2 linked regions of the Anolis sagrei genome follow. The protein of the gene in region 1 interacts with the protein of each later gene in a biochemical or structural test. Links are inferred from orthologs where the notes say so. Each region holds a gene or a part of one and is shown in the gene's direction. Other genes may lie near its edges.

Region 1 (3,751 bases):
ACAGTTGCATCTGTCAAGTAGGAAAATAAGGTACCACCTTGTGTGGGAGGCTAAATTTAACTAATTTATGAGGCCATAAAGAAAGAAGACTCCGGGGAATGTGGAATGCGGAAGAACTTCATCGGTGTCGTTGATGGACGATGAAAAGCAGCAGCTCCCCTGGCGGCCAGAAAAAAAAAAGTTAAATAGCTTTTGTCTGTTAAATGTTGTTTGTCAAACTGGCATTGAATGTTTGCCATATATGTGTTTACTGTAATCCGCCCTGAGTCCCCTGCGGGATGAGAAGGGCGGAATATAAGAACTGTAAATAAATAATAATAAATAAATGTAATAAATGTAATAATAGTAGTAGTAGTAGTAAGAAGAAGAAGAAGAAGAAGAAGAAGAAGAAGAAGAGGAGGAGGAGGAGGAGGAGGAGGAGGAGGAAAATAATAAATAACCCTGACTCGAGTATAAGCCGCGGGGAGCTTTTTCAGCCTTAAAAAAGGGCTGAAAACTAGGCCTATACTGAAGTATATACAGTAATTTCACCCAAACTTTGGCTTTGACTGAATTTGGCTACAACTTTACTGTCAAGTACATATTGCTTATCAACAAACATTTTAGTGCCCTTCCAGACAGGCCCTATATCCCAGGATCTGATCCCAGGTTTTCTGCTTTAACCTGGATCATATGAGTCCCCACTACCAGATAATCTGGGATAAACAGAAAACCTGGGATCAGAGCCTGGGATATAGTGCCTATCTGGAACAACCCTTAATTGACAACATGCCACAGGACATGGATGTTCCCTTACTATTCCTGTTTCATGAGCATATGACACTAGAGCTGAGTTTATTCTAACATTAAAAAAGACACAGTTGCATGCATAAACTGTACCAATTGCCAAGGAGTTAATGGCATGAAGTTTTGAGAGGGCGGTACGATGAGGAAGGCAATAGGAAAAGGATGCAATCAGCTTTTCTACACTCCAGAGGAAGTGTTGGTACCACAAGTCTACACAGAGGAAGGAGGTGTAGTGTTTATGCCAACCCACACAAGGAGAAGCGTGCAAAAGAGCCATCAGAGGGATTTGCAATAAAAATGGTAAGTACAGTTTTATTTCTCTATATACAGAATTCCAAAGGATACAGATTTAGGAATGAAATAGCGTTGAATTTGCTATTTGCTGTAGCCTGGAACAGGTATAGCAAGGAAGCACATTAAAATTCAAAAGGACCAGAGGTAACCCCATGGCCTAAGAGGAATGGCTAGATGAGCATCTGCAGAAACGACTATAAACATGAAAGTCAGGGGAGGACTCAAAATACAATTTGGTCATAATAAAAATGATTGACATCGATTTTAAAACCTTCATTTTTACTAGATTGTGGCCTGGAGTATTGGATAGGTAAGAACAAATACAAAAATATATGACATACTAGCGGTCCCCTGCCACGCGTTGCTGTGGCCCAGTCTCGTTATCTGGAAAATAAAGTAATGAGAAAGTGTTGGTTTCTAATATATGTAATTTCTTTATGCTTGTGGGTAAACAGTATTTCTTGCTGTTTGTTAGTGTTGATATGGAGATTGTCTGGTTTGCCTTCTTTGGAACATGCAACATATTATTGTCCTTCTTTAGGAATCCCTTTCAAATCTGTGATACTGTATTTGTGTGTGTGTGAATCATATATATATCTATCTATATTTATGGCTGGATGGCTCTTTGTCAGGAGGGCCTTGATTACGTTTTCTTGCCCCGATGGAGGGAGTTGGACTGGATGGCCTTAAGAATGGGGGTTTTGTGTGGGAAGTTTGCCCCAATTTTGTCGTTGGTGGAGTTCAGCATGCTCTTTGTTTGTAGGTGAACTATAAATCTCAGTAACTACAACTCCCAAATGTCAAGGTCTATTTCCTACTCCATCTGTGTTCATATTTGGGCATATGGAATATTTGTGCCAAGTTTGGTCCAGAGTGCTGTTTAGATGTAGGTGAACTGCAACTCCCAAACTCAAGGTCAATGCTCACCAAGCCCTTTTAGTATTTTCTGTTGGTCATGGGAGTCCTGTGTACCACATTTGGTTCAATTCCATCATTTGTGGAGTTCAGAATGTTCTTTGATTGTAGGTGTACTATAAATCAAAGCAACTACAACTCCCAAATGATAAAATCATTTTTTTAGTGATGGTCACTCCTTGGATTAGTAGGTATTTTGTGGCAAAATTTGGTGGCAATTCGTCCAGTGGTTTTTGAGTTATGTTAACCCCACAAACGAACAGTACATTTTTATTAATATACAGTTACATATATAAAAGGATGGGAAGGCTCCAACCAAATTGGGAAGTATAATTCCGGATTCAACCCTGATTTAAGTTGAACTTTATGCCATGCCGGCTTTTAAAAATATTCAGATTGAGTTATCCAAATGCATAAGACCAGAAGTGTTTTTATTTTGGATCCCCCCCCCCCCTCCCCCAGATTTTAGAATACCTGTAATTACATATATGTTCATAATGGGAGATAGGATTAAAATCTAACATGAAATTATTTATGTTTTGGTTACACTTTATTCACATAGCCTGAAGGTAATTCTATTCCCAATATTTTTAATATTTTGGATACAAAATACCAAACTCTCAATAATGTCAATATCTCAGTCACTCATGTGGACAATTTCGAAGAGTTTAGGATTTCGGAATTATGGATAAAAAATATGCTCAGCTTGTATGTTGCTGCAGCTCTAGACAGTATTTTAAAATTAGTATCAACAACAATTTGGAGAGATACACAAATGGGAAGGGCTCCTCCACTACCGTTAGTAAATGTCTTTAGATTGTGGCCCTTGCGTGCCCATCAACCTGTCCATGTTACACTTGATATTAAAGCAAAACAATGCTTGGTCTTGCAAAAAAGGTAACTGAAATAAATATTATCAATGATCTGGAGAACAAGCCCTATGAGGAGCGGCTTAGGGAACTGGGCATGTTTAGCCTGAAGAAGAGAAGGCTGAGAGGAGATATGATAGCCATGTATAAATATGTGAGAGGAAGCCACAGGGAGGAGGGAACAAGCTTGTTTTCTGCTTCCCTGGAGACTAGGACGCGGAACAATGGCTTCAAACTACAAGAGAGGAGATTCCATCTGAACATTAGGAAGAACTTCCTGACTGTGAGAGCCGTTCAGCAGTGGAACTCTCTGCCCCGGAGTGTGGTGGAGGCTCCTTCTTTGGAAGCTTTTAAGCAGAGGCTGGATGGCCATTTGTCAGGGGTGATTTGAATGCAGTATTCCTGCTTCTTGGCAGGGGGTTGGACTGGATGGCCCAGGAGGTCTCTTCCAACTCTATGATTCTATGATTCTATCTGTGCATTTAAGGGTGTGGGTTGTAAGGAAATTTTACCGTACTAGAATTAAAGATATATTTTCACATTGTTTGAAATTCTGTTTGAGACAGATATTGCTTTGGGTTGCTGTAGGTTTTTCGGGCTATATGGCCATGTTCTAGGATTTTTGTAGGTTGTTGTAGATTTTTAAAGCTATATGGCCATGTTATAGCTCGAAAAACCTACAATAACCCAGTGATTCCAGCCATGAAAGCCTTCGACAATAGATATTGCTTTGTTGTATGTCACCTTGATTCCTCTTCTGGGAAATAAATAAAATATGTTGTGACACTAATTCAACACAACCCCCTTATTTAATTTGGCTTCAACTTGTTATCCCCTTTCTCGTTTCCCTTTGCATCTGGAGAAAAGAAGGGAGGCAATCAATTTCT
Region 2 (3,751 bases), on another chromosome or scaffold:
GGAAGAAAGTTAAATCCATTTAGCCTGCAGAACAGAAGGCTGAGAGGAGGCATGATTGCCATGCATAAATATGTGAGAGGGTATCACAAGGCAAAGGGAACAGGCTTGTTTTTTGCTGCCCTGGAAACTAGGATTCAGAGCAATGGGTTCAAACTACAGGAAAGGAGATTGCACCTGAACATTAGGAAGAACTTCCTGACTGTGAGAGCTGTTCATCAGTGGTACTCTCTGCCTTGGAGTGTGGTGGAAGCTCCTTCTTACAGCAACACCAGGGGCACTCCAAGTGGCCAGCTTCTGGTCAAAGGACATTTAGTCCTTTGTGCTACCGGGCACAATTCAAATTTAGCCTTTAAAGCACTAAGCGGTTCCGGCCCAGTTTACCTGTCCGAATGCATGTCTCCCTATGAACCATCTAAGTGCTTAAGATCGTCTGGAGAGGCCCTGCTCTCGGTCCCGCCCCCTTCTCAGATGTGATTGGTGGGAATGAGAGACAGGGCCTTCTCAGTGGTGACCCCTCGGCTATGGATATTTGATCGGCCTCCTGGCTGTTTGAGCAGGCATTTGCAGACACAGTGTAACAGACTAATTGAGACCCACAGAATGATTGGACAATGCAATGGAAAAATCAAATTGAGTGATGGGATGCTGAGGACTTGTGTTTTGTGGCTTTTATGGCTTATATTATATTATATGTAATGTTTTAAACTGTATTTATGTTGATTGGGGGCACTGACTGCTATCTGGAAGGGGTGTTATACAGGGTTAGTCAAAATGAATAGGCCAATAAGATATACAATTAATTTTCTTATTGGCCTATTCATTTTGACTAACCCTGTATAAATACTGCAAATAAATAAATAAATAAATAAATAAACCGAATGCCAAGCTTTCAAACTTTGTGTTTTGTTTGTTTGCTTGCTTTTTAAATACATTACAAGGGTACCCTTGCTTCGCTCCTGAGACGATAAATAAACATCCCAGGGTGTTTTTTGTTTGTTTTTTAAATCCATTACAACTTGATTTGCTCCTGAGACGATAAAACAAATAATATTTATTCCTGGTCAGGCGACGCTCTGGAAGATGCTTGGATTCGCGCAATGGCGCTGGGCATCTGTCTTGGTGGGAGGACTCATGGAGAAGACCCTCTGCGTGTGCGTGTGTGTGGGATGGGTGAGACCAATAGAGGGGGCGGTCTGGGAGGGGGGGGAGGCGAGGGGCCAATGGGGAGGCTGCATTCCCCGCCCCTGTCCCGGGCGCGCCCATAAAAGCCCTGGCGCGCCTCCTCGGCCTCGCATCTGAGGCTGGAGCGCGTCGAAGCCGGGTGGCCGAGCGGCAGAGATGGGCAGGGCGCTGGCGACGCGGCTGGGCTTAGGGCTCCTGCTCCTGGCGCTTCTCCTCCCCACGCAGGTGAGCCAAGGAGGGCTGCCTGCCCGCCCGGGGCACCCCCCCCCCGACCGCCCCCCCAGTCTCTCTCTCTTTCACCCCAGCAGAGCCCAGCGGAGTTGGGAAGCCCTCTGAACGGAGCGGGTGCGTGGGTGGGTGGGTGCTCCCCAGTAGGATGGGTTCAACCAAAACGGGGGGGGGGGGTGCAGAAGGAGAAACCCCCCCCCCCTTCCCTCCCTGCAGCGGACGCAAACAGACCTTGCTTGGGCTCGGGTATCTTGTCGAAGGCTTTCATGGCTGGAATCACTGGGTTGTTGCAAGTTTTTTTCTGCATCTATGGCAGGCATTCAGACTTCACAACCTCTGGGGATGCCTGCCATAGATGCAGGCGAAACGTCAGGAGAGAATGCTTCTAGAACATGGCCAAACCGACCGAAAAACAACCTTTTTCAGCACGGACAGGGCTCAGGTGCCCGAAAGCGAGATCCTCAGGGAGAAAAGGTCTTTTTGATCTGAGGGCGCATCTACGCTCCAGAATTAACGCAGCTTGATCCCACTTTAACAACTCTTTAGCCTTCTCTGCTGACGAGTGCTATCACTCCCCTGATTGCATAGCCCTGAGCTCTGGTAGTCCAAGAGTGCCAAAGCGCGTTCATTCTCCAGTGTAGATACACCCTTGAAGAATGGCTTTCATGGCCAGAATCACTAGGTTGTGTTGTGAGTTTTCAGGGCTGCCTGGCCATGTTCCAGAAGCATTCTCTCCTGATGTTTCGCCTGCATCTATGGAAGACATCCTCAGGGGTTGTGAGGTCTGCTGGAAACTAGGAAATGGGATTTATGGAGAAATGGAGATGAGCACCACCAGATATATAAAGCCCTTTTTCCTAGTTTCCAGCAGACCTCACAACCTCTGAAAATGCCTGCTATAGATGCAAGCAAAACGTCAGGAGGGAATGCTTCTGGAACATGGCCACACAGCCTGGAAAACTCACAACAATCCATCCCTGAAGACCTCAAAATATATCTCTTCCCTCCCAGGCTTCGTATTTGTTCCTTCTCCACACCCCTGGAGGTCCAAAAAATATAATTCACTTCCCTCCCAGACCCCGTATTTTGGAGGTTGGTAACATTACCATTCTTCCAAGCCTTGCTTCGTCTTCCCAGCTAAGGGAAATGTCTTAAACCAGTATGAAAAGACCGCTCTGCTGCTCCTCTCCTTCTGGGCTTAGCTTTGTTCACAGAGCCCAGACTAAAAGGAGAACAACCTTCACAGTCATCAGCCCAAGTTAAAGCCCCCCCCCCCCATTGGCACAATGGGTTAACCCAGGCCTGGGCAAACTTGGGCCCTCCAGGTGTTTTGGACTTCAACTCCCACAATTCCTAACAGCTTACTACAGCTCACAGAAGCCGCCCAGCTTGCATTCACAGGCTGGGGGCTTCTGGGAGCTGTAGTAGGCTGTTAAGAATTGTGGGAGTTGAAGTCCAAAACACCTGGAGGACTGAAGTTTCCCATGCCTGAGTTCAACCTTTGTGCTGGCAGAACTGTTGACCAAAAGGTTGGTAGTTCAAATCCAGCTTCCCATGTGGGGACATGAGAGAAGCCTCCCACAGGATGGTAAAACATCCCCCTGGGTAATGTCTTTGCAAGTGCCTGGGCAACGTCCTTGCAGGCAGCCAATTCTCTCACACCAGAAACGACTTGCAGTTTCTCAAGTTGCTTCTGACACGGAAAAAAAAGCCCACATTACACCAAACTTCTCACCCAGCCAAATGTTAACCCATAACTCTTCAAAGCAATCATCAGCGCTGTTCTCTAGGGAGCCCATCACACATTTTCCCTGGATAGGGAGAATGAATCCACTTAAAATCCAGTTTCTGCTTCCTGCAGAATTCTGGGGTTTGTAGTTTAGAGAGAAGCCTTTAACAGCCTCACTAAACAACAAACCCCAGAAACAGGATTTTAAGTGGATTCATTTTCAAGTGTGATGTAGATAGGGATAAAGAAGGGAGGTAGATTGCTTTCTTGGAATAGGATCCCCCTTTCGTTCAAGCAAGGAAAAAGAAAAAATGAGTTTAAAAAGCCTTGAAGGAAAACTCACAGAAAGTAGGCTTTCCTATAACTTTAGACAGTTTGCTGGAGAGGTTTTTTTCCTCCTTTGCTTGAATGGGTGGAATTCTATATCTGTAGTTAGTTGAAAAAAAAACTATTAAACTCTCTTAGGTTTTATTTACGGCATTTATTTATGGAATTTATATCCCACCTTTCTCAGCCCTAAGGTGACTCTTAGGTTGATATTACCTACATATTAAATGTGATTCATTGAATGAAACCCCTTCCCTCCCTGATGCTGTTTGACTCTCCCTATCC

Evidence for each region. The genes of interacting proteins can lie anywhere in the genome.
Region 2: the proteins of P-selectin-like (region 1) and CD24 form a complex in vitro, tested with the Homo sapiens proteins (2 studies listed by BioGRID and IntAct). The link is inferred for Anolis sagrei from reciprocal best matches to the Homo sapiens genes SELP and CD24.

Annotation. Positions count from the first base shown.
Region 1 is NC_090024.1:130,221,472-130,225,222, forward strand, and holds the start of P-selectin-like, read left to right. Parts: upstream 1-948; coding exon 949-1,086; intron 1,087-3,751. UniProt on the Homo sapiens protein: Ca(2+)-dependent receptor for myeloid cells that binds to carbohydrates on neutrophils and monocytes. Mediates the interaction of activated endothelial cells or platelets with leukocytes. The ligand recognized is sialyl-Lewis X.
Region 2 is NC_090021.1:95,242,124-95,245,874, forward strand, and holds the start of CD24 (signal transducer CD24), read left to right. Parts: upstream 1-1,281; 5' UTR 1,282-1,338; coding exon 1,339-1,407; intron 1,408-3,751.